3 linked regions of the Drosophila melanogaster genome follow. The protein of the gene in region 3 interacts with the protein of the main gene of each other region in a pairwise test. Each region holds a gene or a part of one and is shown on either strand. Other genes may lie near its edges.

What was found.
Region 1: the proteins of crp (region 3) and Cpr76Bb interact in a two-hybrid assay, tested with the Drosophila melanogaster proteins (one large-scale study listed by BioGRID).
Region 2: the proteins of crp (region 3) and CG14490 interact in a two-hybrid assay, tested with the Drosophila melanogaster proteins (one large-scale study listed by BioGRID).

The regions. Positions count from the first base shown.
Region 1 is NT_037436.4:19,517,930-19,520,963, reverse strand, and holds Cpr76Bb (cuticular protein 76Bb), read right to left. Parts: upstream 1,316-3,034; 5' UTR 1,270-1,315; coding exon 673-1,269; 3' UTR 545-672; downstream 1-544. Other genes in the region: Cpr76Ba (cuticular protein 76Ba), read left to right, coding at 2,689-3,034.
Region 2 is NT_033778.4:17,858,672-17,862,154, reverse strand, and holds CG14490 (uncharacterized protein), read right to left. Parts: upstream 1,396-3,483; 5' UTR 1,357-1,395; coding exon 948-1,356; intron 883-947; exon of another isoform or gene 827-882; coding exon 642-826; 3' UTR 564-641; downstream 1-563. Other genes in the region: thr (three rows), read left to right, coding at 1-557; orai, read right to left, coding at 2,361-2,897.
Region 3 is NT_033779.5:16,284,716-16,289,806, reverse strand, and holds the start of crp (cropped), read left to right. Parts: upstream 1-2,076; 5' UTR 2,077-2,617; coding exon 2,618-2,709; intron 2,710-5,091. Other genes in the region: pkaap, read right to left, coding at 1-664, 935-1,207, 1,336-1,363.

The sequences.
Region 1 (3,034 bases), on a different chromosome or scaffold from region 3:
GTTCCGAAACCCGTTTGAGCCGCGATACCGCCAAGCTATCTATATCCATATATGCTGCACGAACTTATATATACATATGTTGTATATATCCCATGCTCCCCCGATTTGGGCGCCCCAACTTTTGGTTTCAGGCGCCGCCGAGCGGCAAGTAAAAGTCGTCGTCGACGCTTCGCTGCAGCTGTCTAATGGCATTATAAAATTTATACCTGCCAGCATTACGTTTCGACTTTACATAAATTAATGGCGATTTGCTCTGCGAGTTTGTCGTGTCTCCACTTGGCCAGTTAATCCTGCTAATCCGTATCAAAATCAAGTGCTTGTGACTTGGGAAAACTTCCCAGAGACTCATTCGCAAGGCGGACACCACTTTTTAATGCATTTCCATATATTTTTCATACCTTAATAAGATATTTCTGTCTCATAAGGTATTTACTAACCTTTTCTATCTAGTAGATAAAGGTATAAATAATTTATAATAATTTATAATTGTATAAATAGTAAATGTCGTCCCTTCTTGATTATAAACAGCTACGCTTATTTATTTCAATACAAATATAAATATCGTCAATACTACACTTGTAAAAAGTTGGCTTTAGTTAGGTAAGTTCGTTGCATTGTTAACTAATGATGATTCCAGATCGTTTTCGCCGGGTGAGTCCGCATTTTGGTTGCTTAGTGCAGCTGCTTCACGCTTACGTAGCTACTGGCGTGGCCTCCGTGTCCGTATCCGTATCCGCCATATTGCGCCACATCGTGACCGTAGCCGTAGTCGGCGTCGTAGATATCGCCGTGTCCGTAGCCCTTGTGGTAGACCTGGGGGTGGTGGGCGTGGCCGAGCTTCTTTACCACTGCGTTGAAGCCATTGTGGTCATCGGCGGTGTACTCCACCACTCGGGTGGTGCCATCCGATTCCTTGAGGGAGTAGCTGCCCTTGACCTTGTCGCCATCCCGCGTCTCCCACTGGCTCTTCTGGTCTCCGGTGTGGGCATCCTTGACGCCGTAGTCGAATTGGTACTTGGGATAGTGATGGGGCTCGTGCTTGTCGTATCCGTATCCGTAGCCCGAATGGCCGACACTCGGATAGCCGTGTCCGTAGATGCCACCGTAAGCGCTGACCACATCGTGATCGTATCCGTAGCCCAGGCTCTTGTGGACGGGTCCTTCGTGCTTGGTCACCGAACTGTAGCTGGTGGCGTGTCCACCATGGGGAGCTGCCCAACTGGCTCCCACCAGAAGGGCAAAGAACAGACCTCCGCTAAAGGATTTCATATCGGTCACTTATTCGCTGTTTTCCAATCGGAACTTTGATGATGTCTGCTGGTTCTTGGGGAGCTCACCTAGACTATATATAGCTATCGAAGACTCTGGGGCAATCAACCATCGGGTGGTCATTCTCTTGGCCACACCATTCACCAATCGAGCTAGCTGATTTGATAATTACCTCACTAACTCGTACTTATTATTATTGTTTCGGCCATTGAGCTCTATAGAAAATCGGCACATTTTATTTAAAGTCCAATCCGTTACAATTAAATTCTGCTAGTAATAATTAATAATATCAGATCCAAAAAGTTTTTGTTAGATCGTTCGATGTGTTTGGTATTCAGTCAAAGAGAAGGGAAAAACTAAGGCAAGAACTTATTGCTTAATTTACAAAAATTAATTATGACTGAGAATGTGAACTGATGAAGGCGGCAGCTTTTGCTTGAAGAAATAAGGAAATGCTGTTAAACTAACCAATAAATAAACTTTGTAGTGTTGTACTTTGAAATCCTTATGTAAATATCCAAAGCGAACCTATTTTGCTATAAATAATTATGTGTTTTTCCTAGAAATCTGTTGGCTTCAACATTATATTTATTATATAGTTATTAGTAGTTTTAAAACTTGAACTACAGGATTTCTTTTTATTTAATATGCATGTTATTCCTATAGATAGCGAAACAATTTATGCAAATAAACGTCTTAAAAATAATTAACATCAGATAACGTAGGCTAAATACCAATATGCTTATATTTTCACGCATTTCAAATTTCCGAGCTTAAAGTCTATTAGCCTTGTAAATTATATGCATTAAAAAACACTATCGGTAAGTTAACACCAATTCGGAAGCTCTGGGTGCCCCACAGCAGACCCCCTGGTCAGAAACACCAACCGATTGGACGGTCCGCCCAACGCTGCCCTCCCCTTCTCAGCCCCTTACCGCACCGTCCGTCTCAAGGTCATTTGGAGTGAAGTAGGCGAAAAAGAGGGTCCAACCGTGGAAACGCAGCGAGGCGAGGCGAGGCGGCTATTGCTGAGCAATTTGAAAGCGGGCCACACTTGTTGATTGATTTCTAAGCAACAAAATCGAAAAGCTTTGCGTTTTTCAAGCATTTGAGCGATGTTCACGCCCCGCTTAATGATGATGTTGTTGTTTCTGGCAAGTTTTAATTTGCCAATCGACCGACCGCCCAAGACTATGAATACGAATGGGGAAAAATGAAAATTTGCACAAAAATTCGAAGCATTTTTTATACCCATTTTTGGGGCTCTTACTTTTTTCTAGCCTATTTAGCCCGCAGTCTAAAATGTAATTAATCGATCCATAGAATGGCCAGAAGTATAAAAGCATTGGGCATTGTCTGGTGATTATAACAGTTCCAATCGTGATTTAGGCCAGGCAAGTCAATCAGAAACCAACGAAAATGGCCCACCAATTGAGCATCCTCTGCTGCGCACTTCTGGGAGTGGCTGCTGCTAGCTACATCCCTCATGGTGGATATAGTCACGAACACGGCGTGGGGTACAGCATCCAGACGCATCACGAGGCGCCCAAGCAGTGGCAGGATCACCACCAGGCTCACCACCAATGGGTGGATGTCCCAAAGGCCCATTCATGGGGCACAGTTCAGGATCATCACCACCAGCAGTGGGCTCCAGTCGCTGCGCACGATAGCCACCACCAGTGGAGCCACCACGAGGAACCCAAACACCATCCCAAATACGAATTCAATTACGGGGTGAAGGACACCAAGACCGGCGACATCAAGC
Region 2 (3,483 bases), on a different chromosome or scaffold from region 3:
TCCTTCGACGTGCTTTGGTATTCAATCACTCACCCGAAGATAAGAAACGAACCGCAATAGGATCGGTTTCAGCAGTCAAGAATACGGCGTCTAAAGTTAAACAGTCGGCCAAAAAGGCACCTCGATTCAGAATTTACGAGGAGCTGGAACTACGACCACCAAGTGCTACCAGTTGCAGTAGCAGCGGTGGCAGCGGAACAGAGAATACACCGCCTTCGGATCACGTGGATCTAAATGCCTGCCAAGCGATCGAGATAAGCGACGATGACGATTCACCTTTGGTGTCCACAAAGAAGACACAACCAAAAAGTAGGGAGAAGGCAAAACCCAAGGCCACATCCAAAGCTTGTAAAGTCCTAACATTGGATAATAGCTTGGAAATAGTAGAAACGCCGACAATAACTACAAGTACACGGAGCACCAGAGCCAGGCTGCGCCAACCAGTAGAGACACCAAAGACAGCGACTCTTTCATCCAAGCGAACGAGGCGCCAGGTTTTGGAAGCACAGGCTCCCGAAACGGAGTCCATTAGCACACGCACACGGCATCGGCACTGATTAGATAGTAGTCTCCTTAGTTCGTATTTATTCTTATCGAAAATGTCTTGGTATTTAAATATATATATATATTGTGTGTAAGTGTTACAAAAGAGCTTTTGACATAAATTCATTGTTTTTATCTTGTGGCAGGGACAGTAGTGACGTTCTACAGATGTCCTTGCTCCAAAAACCGTGCTGAATCCGCTGTCCATTGCTGGCATGGTAAAATACACCTGAGCCCGATTTGCAGCCTCCTTCAAATTGACCCACGTAGCGATTTCCCGTTGCTATGGATAACATATTAACTTATTATCTATAATCTTTATGCATTTTTAAAGTTGCGAAAAAATAAATAAAATGAAACAAATACATCCAAAGGAACATATCTTATTTCTTTATCACACTCACCCGTGAAAAGTAAACCCTTTTCGTGCATCTTGTCCCGAAGCCACTCGCCCACATAGATGCCGCCATCCGCCTGCCATAGGATGCCCTCTCCACTTCGCTGGTCCGCTAGCCACTGACCAAAGTAGACGGATCCGTCCGGATAGAACTGCTTGCCCTCGCCACTCCGCTTGTTCTCCCGCCACTGACCCACGTAGATGCGTTCCATGCGGCCATCGAGCTCCTTGCGACGCAAACTTCCGATGCCATGCCGTTGACCCTTCTGCCAGTGACCCTCGTAGACAAGTCCACTGCTCGTTTGCTTTACCCCAAACCCGTGAGGCTGCTGGCCCAACCATTTGCCCTGGTACTGCCCACCAGGATAACGTTGAGAGCGAACTCCACTACTATATCCGCTCGTACGCGACGACATGTCTTCGATGACTGAGCGCGGGAGCAAGTCCGTCCAATTGCGGCGGTGCCATGTGGTGTCGTCCGACTTTAGGCGGCGGTGTGCGTGCGGTGGTGTCACTTGTCTAATCGAACCCCCCCAGCCAGCAGCAGCATGTCTTGCCACCATTTGGCTTCCTCCAGCAGCGACACGCTAACTTAAGGAGGCCAAAGACATTGGCTCAATAGAAAATCGTTTGTTCCGGTTAAGTGTATGTAGTAAAAATCGTTTAATCAGTCGTATATAAATTACAGCGCTATTTAGCTTACATCGGTAAAGATCGAAAATAGACTGTTATATTTTCCAAAACTATTGGAATACCTATGAATATAATTCGTATATAAATATTGCAGTACATTTTCAAATACTTTATTTTACAATTGTTTTATGTTGCATATAAAATATATCAAATTGTCTCTAAAATTTTGCATTCTTTTAATCCGCATCTATTGTTCAGCTATATATCACGATTAAAAATAAAACTCCAACACCATATATATAGAAAATTCTTTTAATCATAAATTATATGGTATAAATTACAGCGCGGTTTCGCTTACACAATTGGCTTAATATTAAATTTGACAATCAAGTTGTGTCTTAAACGTAAAAAGGGAAGACTGCCTAAGGATGGTTGCAAAAAAAGAAAATCCGGCATGGCATACAATTTAAAATACACGCAATATAAATATGTAACAAATATCAGCTAATTTTTTGAGGAATATTCATCCGAAGTATTGCTTTAATTGGGGTCTTTTATCATTGTCAATATCCGTGCTAATCCGCAATTGCCATAAGTAAAATAAAGGACTACAGCAGCACTCGCACATATATATATATATATAGTAGAAATCTACTGAATTCCGCGTATCACAATTTTAATCAACTACAAATTTACAATATGTGTGTTTCACTAAAAATAATCTGAAGCTTACCCTGAGCCGCTGTCTTTTTCGTTCGATCCACTTGTGCGGATACGCCAAGTGATGCTAGACAATGTCCCCGGATGCGCCATAGTTCATGCCATTATTTCGTATGTTATTGTGATGCTCCAAATGATCCTGCTCCATCTGCTCCTTGAGCATCTCCAGCTCACGGATGCCCGAGACTGTCACCTCATATTTGTGCGACACCAGGGAGCGATAGAAGTGAATGGCGAAGGCCATAAAGATGATCATCACCGGTATGAGGACCACACACGCTGACCAAGCCGCCGGCGGACTTAGGTCATAGAATTTCACCCAGCACAGGATGGCTATCTCCAGTAGAAAGAGTATGAGTCCCAGCAGCGTGGAGAATGCCCACGCCGTTTCAATGTACCAATGGAGACGCTCGTGTGGCGATTCGTGGACCAGGGAAATACTATGCAAATTACACACCGTCTCAATATTTGGCAGGATACAGGTGCTGATCATCAGGGCCAGCATGTGCACCGCCACCAGGAGGGTGGTGCAGATGGCGAAGGCTATCAGCATGCCCGGTGGTACATTCGTATCGTGATCCAGTTGCACCTCCACCATCGCCACCTATGTGAAAATTGCAAAAGTGAAGAAAGTCATTAATGATTTTTATTTAATTTTGGTTAGAAATCGAAACGATTCCCCGGCATCGCCTCTTATTATTATTAGCCATTTCTCGCGAGAACATTGCAAAATTGGCAAATAAGCAACTTTTCTCTTATATTATGTGATCTGAATGGACCTAATTTATCTGATCCGCCCCTAATGCCGCGCCTCCCTTTCTTCAGCATGCTAGGTGTACATGTGGAATGCATAACAAGTTGATGAACCAAAAAAAAAAAGCGACATATAAATACCTCGTCACTCAATTAATTAATATAATAATTCAGCACCTGCAATACTTGCACATTTTCCAATTGATTTATTTAATATTATGTACTGCATACTATAATTTAATAATTTATCTAGATTTAACTGTGTCGTGTGTGGAATTGCTAGACAATAAGTGGGAATTTTAACAATGCTGGGAAACCAACGAATGTATCATGATGTATGTTGATATTTGCTTTGATATTTGCTCCTCTTCAGCAAAACTGCTACAATATTGCAATAGTCTAAACTACCCATAATTAATGGGTGAGAAATACATACG
Region 3 (5,091 bases):
TAGATATTTACAGAGCCGCCTTCGATCAACTCCAGACAGTATGTAGAATAGTAGCCGCTCTGTAGAAATCCCTGCACATGATCCCGCTCCAGCTGCTCCAGCACAAACTCTCTAGCTTCGTCAAAGCAGCTGGCCGGAATTGGTTTGCTACACTCGGACTTATCCCTTCCGCAAAGTAGCAGCGATATATGCGCAAGGATGACGATGGGCAGCTCCACTTGCAGGCTGGCGTTCACTATCAGATACTTTTGGTATATGGCAATGGCATCGCTGATGCTGGCCCGCGATAGCTCGGCGTTCAGCACACTATCCGTTCCAGACTTTTGCCTATTGAGCTGCTTGTTGGTCTCCGCATAGATGCGGCTCTTCTCGTCGTCTGTGAGGGGTTTGCGCATTGACAGATCGCACAGCGTCTTCAATTCAGGTACATCTTTGTCATCTTTGTGCGGAGAAGATTGTTCTATTGCCTTGCGAGGAGGTTCCTCTGGTTCCTCCTTCTCTTGCGTCAGAGCCGCCCGCTTAAAGTTCTCAATGTCCAAGTAGAATTTGATCAGCGGCAGGGCCTGTCGGGTGTCCAGATACTGAACAAAGTAGCTCAGGCAGTTCGGATCGTTGACGATGGAAGCGAGATTCATGGAGAGGCGTGAGTTGTAGGTGAAAATGTCTGGGAAGAAAGCAAAAGGTATAGTTATATAGTAAAGCATAAATGCCAATTGCCATATGTGAATGAGTTTCAAGATTACAACAATTACAACTATTATGTAGACACACTTTTAAGGATTTTCGATACGTGGAATCGCTCCTTATAAGCATTAACAGTGTTATCTACGTTTTATCATGGAAAGTCGAGAATAACGCTGCGATTTGCCAATCATTTCAGTTTCAAAGGTGCCAACGTGATGAGCAATTGAACAATGGGCAATGAGGTAATTACCATCGTTGCTGGCGAGACTGATGCCATCGGAGGGGGCTCCTCCACCACCACCACCACCTCCTCCTCCTCCTCCTCCTCCTGTGGTTCCCACGCCGCCCTCCTCCTCCGCTTCTAGGAACACTTCGTCGCAGAAACTGGTTGTGGAGCGCAGCGAGTGTCGTTTGTGAGCGTTGGCTGCATCACCAGCTCCAGCAACGTCGTTGGTGTCCACATCATACGCTGGCATTTGGCCACAAATGGCATCCGTGGCATCTTGGCTGCTGCGACGTCGGCCTAAATAAAAATCAACAAAAAACCAAATATAATTGGTGTCAACAGAAGAGGAAGAGGGGTGAAGAAGAAACGGGGAAGGGGAGTTGGGTGAAAACAGCAGCGAAATTTCTTTAATTTCTTTAACTCACTGGCGTGCCTCTTGATGTAATTTAACATCTTTACATTCTCCGGCTTTCGGTTGATTCGAGAAGTGCTTCTTGTGCTTCAAAATGCCGATTAACTGGAGATTCGATGAAATAATTTAATGCAGTGCGACGGTAAATATTATGAAAATGGTTTTAGGCGATAGGGTTTTTTTTGCGACCTAATCTTTTTAATTTTTTTTCGCTGGCTGGCCACTCTGTTTGCACAGTTTTGGGTTGAGTCTTTGCTAAAAGGATTCGAAACCAATCTTAACGAACAGCGAATTCAAGCGGCGAAAAGCGAACTCACAGAAACACAGCGAATATTAACGGCGAAAAGCGAATTCATAATACTGGGCGAATTTTCGCTGCGGAAAGAAAATTCATAATACCGGTTGGCTAATAGCGGCGAAAACATAATTCACAATATTCACAAAGAAAATGTAGAAATTGCGCTTATTTCGATGTTTAAATATTGTAATACTTAAATATTTGGAGTTCAGTTTTAGTTTAAAATTAATAAAGTTATGAAATTTTTTGGGACAACGCGGTCTTCAATTTTTGCAAATTTACCCATTCAGATGGCGTATTGGTGGATATAAACATTAAGCAGATAGGTGGCGCCTTAGCAAACGAAAATTCAGTGTTGTGAAGCGCAAAAATACGAAATATCGCAGTGGCATCAATGTAATCGATAGTGCCATCAATGTATTTCCCTATGTGCGATTTTTTCCTTGGCAGCCGTGGTCACTCTGCTGTTTATCGCCGAATTGAACGCACGTAGCGGACCGGACGGATATCGCATCTTCCGATCGGAAAAATCGTACAGTGCAGCCAATTCGCCGTCTACAGAAATCTATTAGCGCGCGTGTGTTGGTGCCAGTGCGGTGGCAAATTAAAACAAAAAACATCTGCGAATTTGAATACGCAAATCTCATGCTCACTAAGAGCGCAAAAGTCATAGAGTGCAGAATAGTGAATTGAAGAACTTTTGGACGCGCTAAGAGTCGCTCTCCATCCCCATCTCTCTCTCTCTCTCTTGTGTGTGCAGTGCTAGTGTGTGCGAGTGTGAGTGAGACGGGCAAACAATTTGCCGCTAAATACAAAAAGCAGCTGAGACCAGCTGACGCATGTGTATGTTCGAAATACAATAAAGTTAACAGGCTATAAATAAATTGCAAATGTTTATGTAGCCGTCAAGCAGCAGCAGTAGCAGCGCAACAACAAAAACCACGTGGCACAGACATTTTGGCCACGATAGTAAGCAAATACACAAACACGATTAAACATGTCCGCCGTACCGGTTGCCATCAAAACGGAGGAAGTTATTCTAGAGCACGCCGAATACAACAGCGCCGAGGAATTGGATGAGGAATTGCAGTAAGTTTGCATCTTAATCGAAATCTCTTTTGTTTCAAATAAAAACAAGGCGAGTCAACAGCTTGGCTTGCATTTTTATCACGCAAATTATTGATTATTTTTACTACTTTGCTAGTGCTCTCCCTTTTCTCCGTCACCGTATCACTCGCGCTCTCTCTAATTCTCTCGTTTGCTTTTTGCCGCCGTTTTGCCGACAAAACAAATACGGCACAAAAACACCACCACCATTAAGACCCATCTCTCACTCACACACATGCAAGCTAGCGTGTGTCGCATTCCATTCCATTTCCATGCCGTTTTCTTGTTGCTGGAATAAATGTGCTCCTTTTTTGTCTCGTCGTTCGTGTCTGTGCCCCCTTCTCAACATCCTCTCTTTTTTTCCGCCGCTCTCGTCCAGCGTTTGTGTTGTTGCTGTTTTTACGCTCTGCCTTTCGGCGTCCATATTGTAAAACGGCTGTTTTGTCAATTTGTCAGCAGTGTCGGCAGACGGGCAACAGTGATGGCACAAACATGAGTCAAGGGTACAGCTGTTAGAAACGATGATTTTTTATTTGCTTTAACTTTAGAAGTGTAGAGTTCAGTAGAAGCCACAATATTAAAAATACATTTTTGGTTTTTCTATACTATTATGGAGGTGTATTTTTAGTTTCTCAAATATTTGTACCTTTGATACATATGTATGATACATAAATGACTTTAAGCGATCTTTTGAAATAATTTTGTATGTTTTTATTTTCACCATTTTGCTTTTTCCTAAAATATTTGGTTTAATTTGTTACAGCTGCTTTTGCTATTTTCTGTGTTCGTCGATCGCGTTTCGCTCTCAGCTCCTCTCTCTCTTCTCAGGCTCTTTCCTATTCTGCTGCTCTTGCTCTAGCTCATATGTTCAAATTAATGGAGGTAGAAAACAGCTGCGCACCCGCACTCCCTCTCTCTTTCTCGCCTCCTCGCTTATCGTGCGTTGCCTAATCAACATTTCTATTTCTTCTTTCGCGTTCATAGTTGAAATGAAATCAGCTGTACCGGTAAATTCGTATCATCAGATGATTTTGCTTCGACTTTATTTACATGCTTCTCCCTTTTCCTTTGCTCTCTTTGCTTATCTCTTTTTACACCGAAAGCAAAATGGATCTAATTTAAAGATCAGTTTGCTGAGTTTAATTAACAATTTGAAAGAAATGACACAATACGAGTTCATTTTCTTACCATTATCCACATCGATTTAGATATGTATCTCTAATATTCCTTTCAGATAAATGGGGCTCCATTTTTCTCTCTGTGTACTCAAGGAATGAGTGTACCGAGAAATGTCGAAAATAAGTTGACTAAGAAATAAATGTATTATTTTAATTTCTTATTTTCCCTCTTACTTTTCTTTCGATCGTTTTCCTTTCGCAAATATGTCACAGGTTTTCAGAGCGAAAGTTTCTTTTTCCCTTGCCGGCTTATCAGAATCATATGGTAGCGCTTTTCGCTTTTCACACGTCATAAGCGGCGCCTTTTCTTATCGCACGAGCATATGTTTTTGCACAACGCCGAAGAGAATCGGAAATATATACATATGTATGCGATTGCACACTTATACTAATCCGTTTCAGCTGGCTTTTCAAGACTTTTATTTCAGCTTGCGTATATACCGGGTAAATAAATATTTTAAACTCGGCAAAATGCCACATGTTTTTGCTGCTGCATTAAAACCAGTACTTCCTCTGTGTTTTATGGATCTATTTAGTATTTCGAAATAGTTGGTAGGAAAATACAAGCATTTCGTAAACGCACGTATAGGGACTATTCAAATACAAATAAAACCAATTGTTATGCATACATTAAGTTAAACCAGTAGACGTAATTAAAATACGATTATATTTTATGAAAATCTAAAAAGCTGTTCACAAAACTTCAAGGCTACATTTCTATTTTAAACCAATCAATTGCAGAATAGATAGATAACCGTTAAAACTTCGAAGGTGGCACGGTTATTTTTGCCACCAGTGTGGACGGTATAACAACTGCGTTTTAGCAGCTGCTGTCTGTTTGTTGTTGGTGCTAAAATAAAAGAGCGTGCCTTGGCTAAAAGTCTCCACCTCTATCTTTCTCTCTCTCTCCCTCTCTCAATTCCATCCGTTGCACATTTGCGAATACTACGAAAGCATGTGTTGTGGCTGCTATTGTTGTTGGCACGGTTCTGTTTGTGTGGCGTCATTTCCGTTTTTACCCCACTCGACTGGAAAAGAGGAGCAGAGAGTGCGAGAGTGAAACAGAGCGTCCTCAACTCTTTCTTTTTCCGTCTCGCTCTCACTGCAGTTTTATAAGAGCCGCTCCCCAGTTGATCGAAGTACATAAGCAGCGGGAGAGAAAGAGAGCCCCATTTGAGTTGCACTC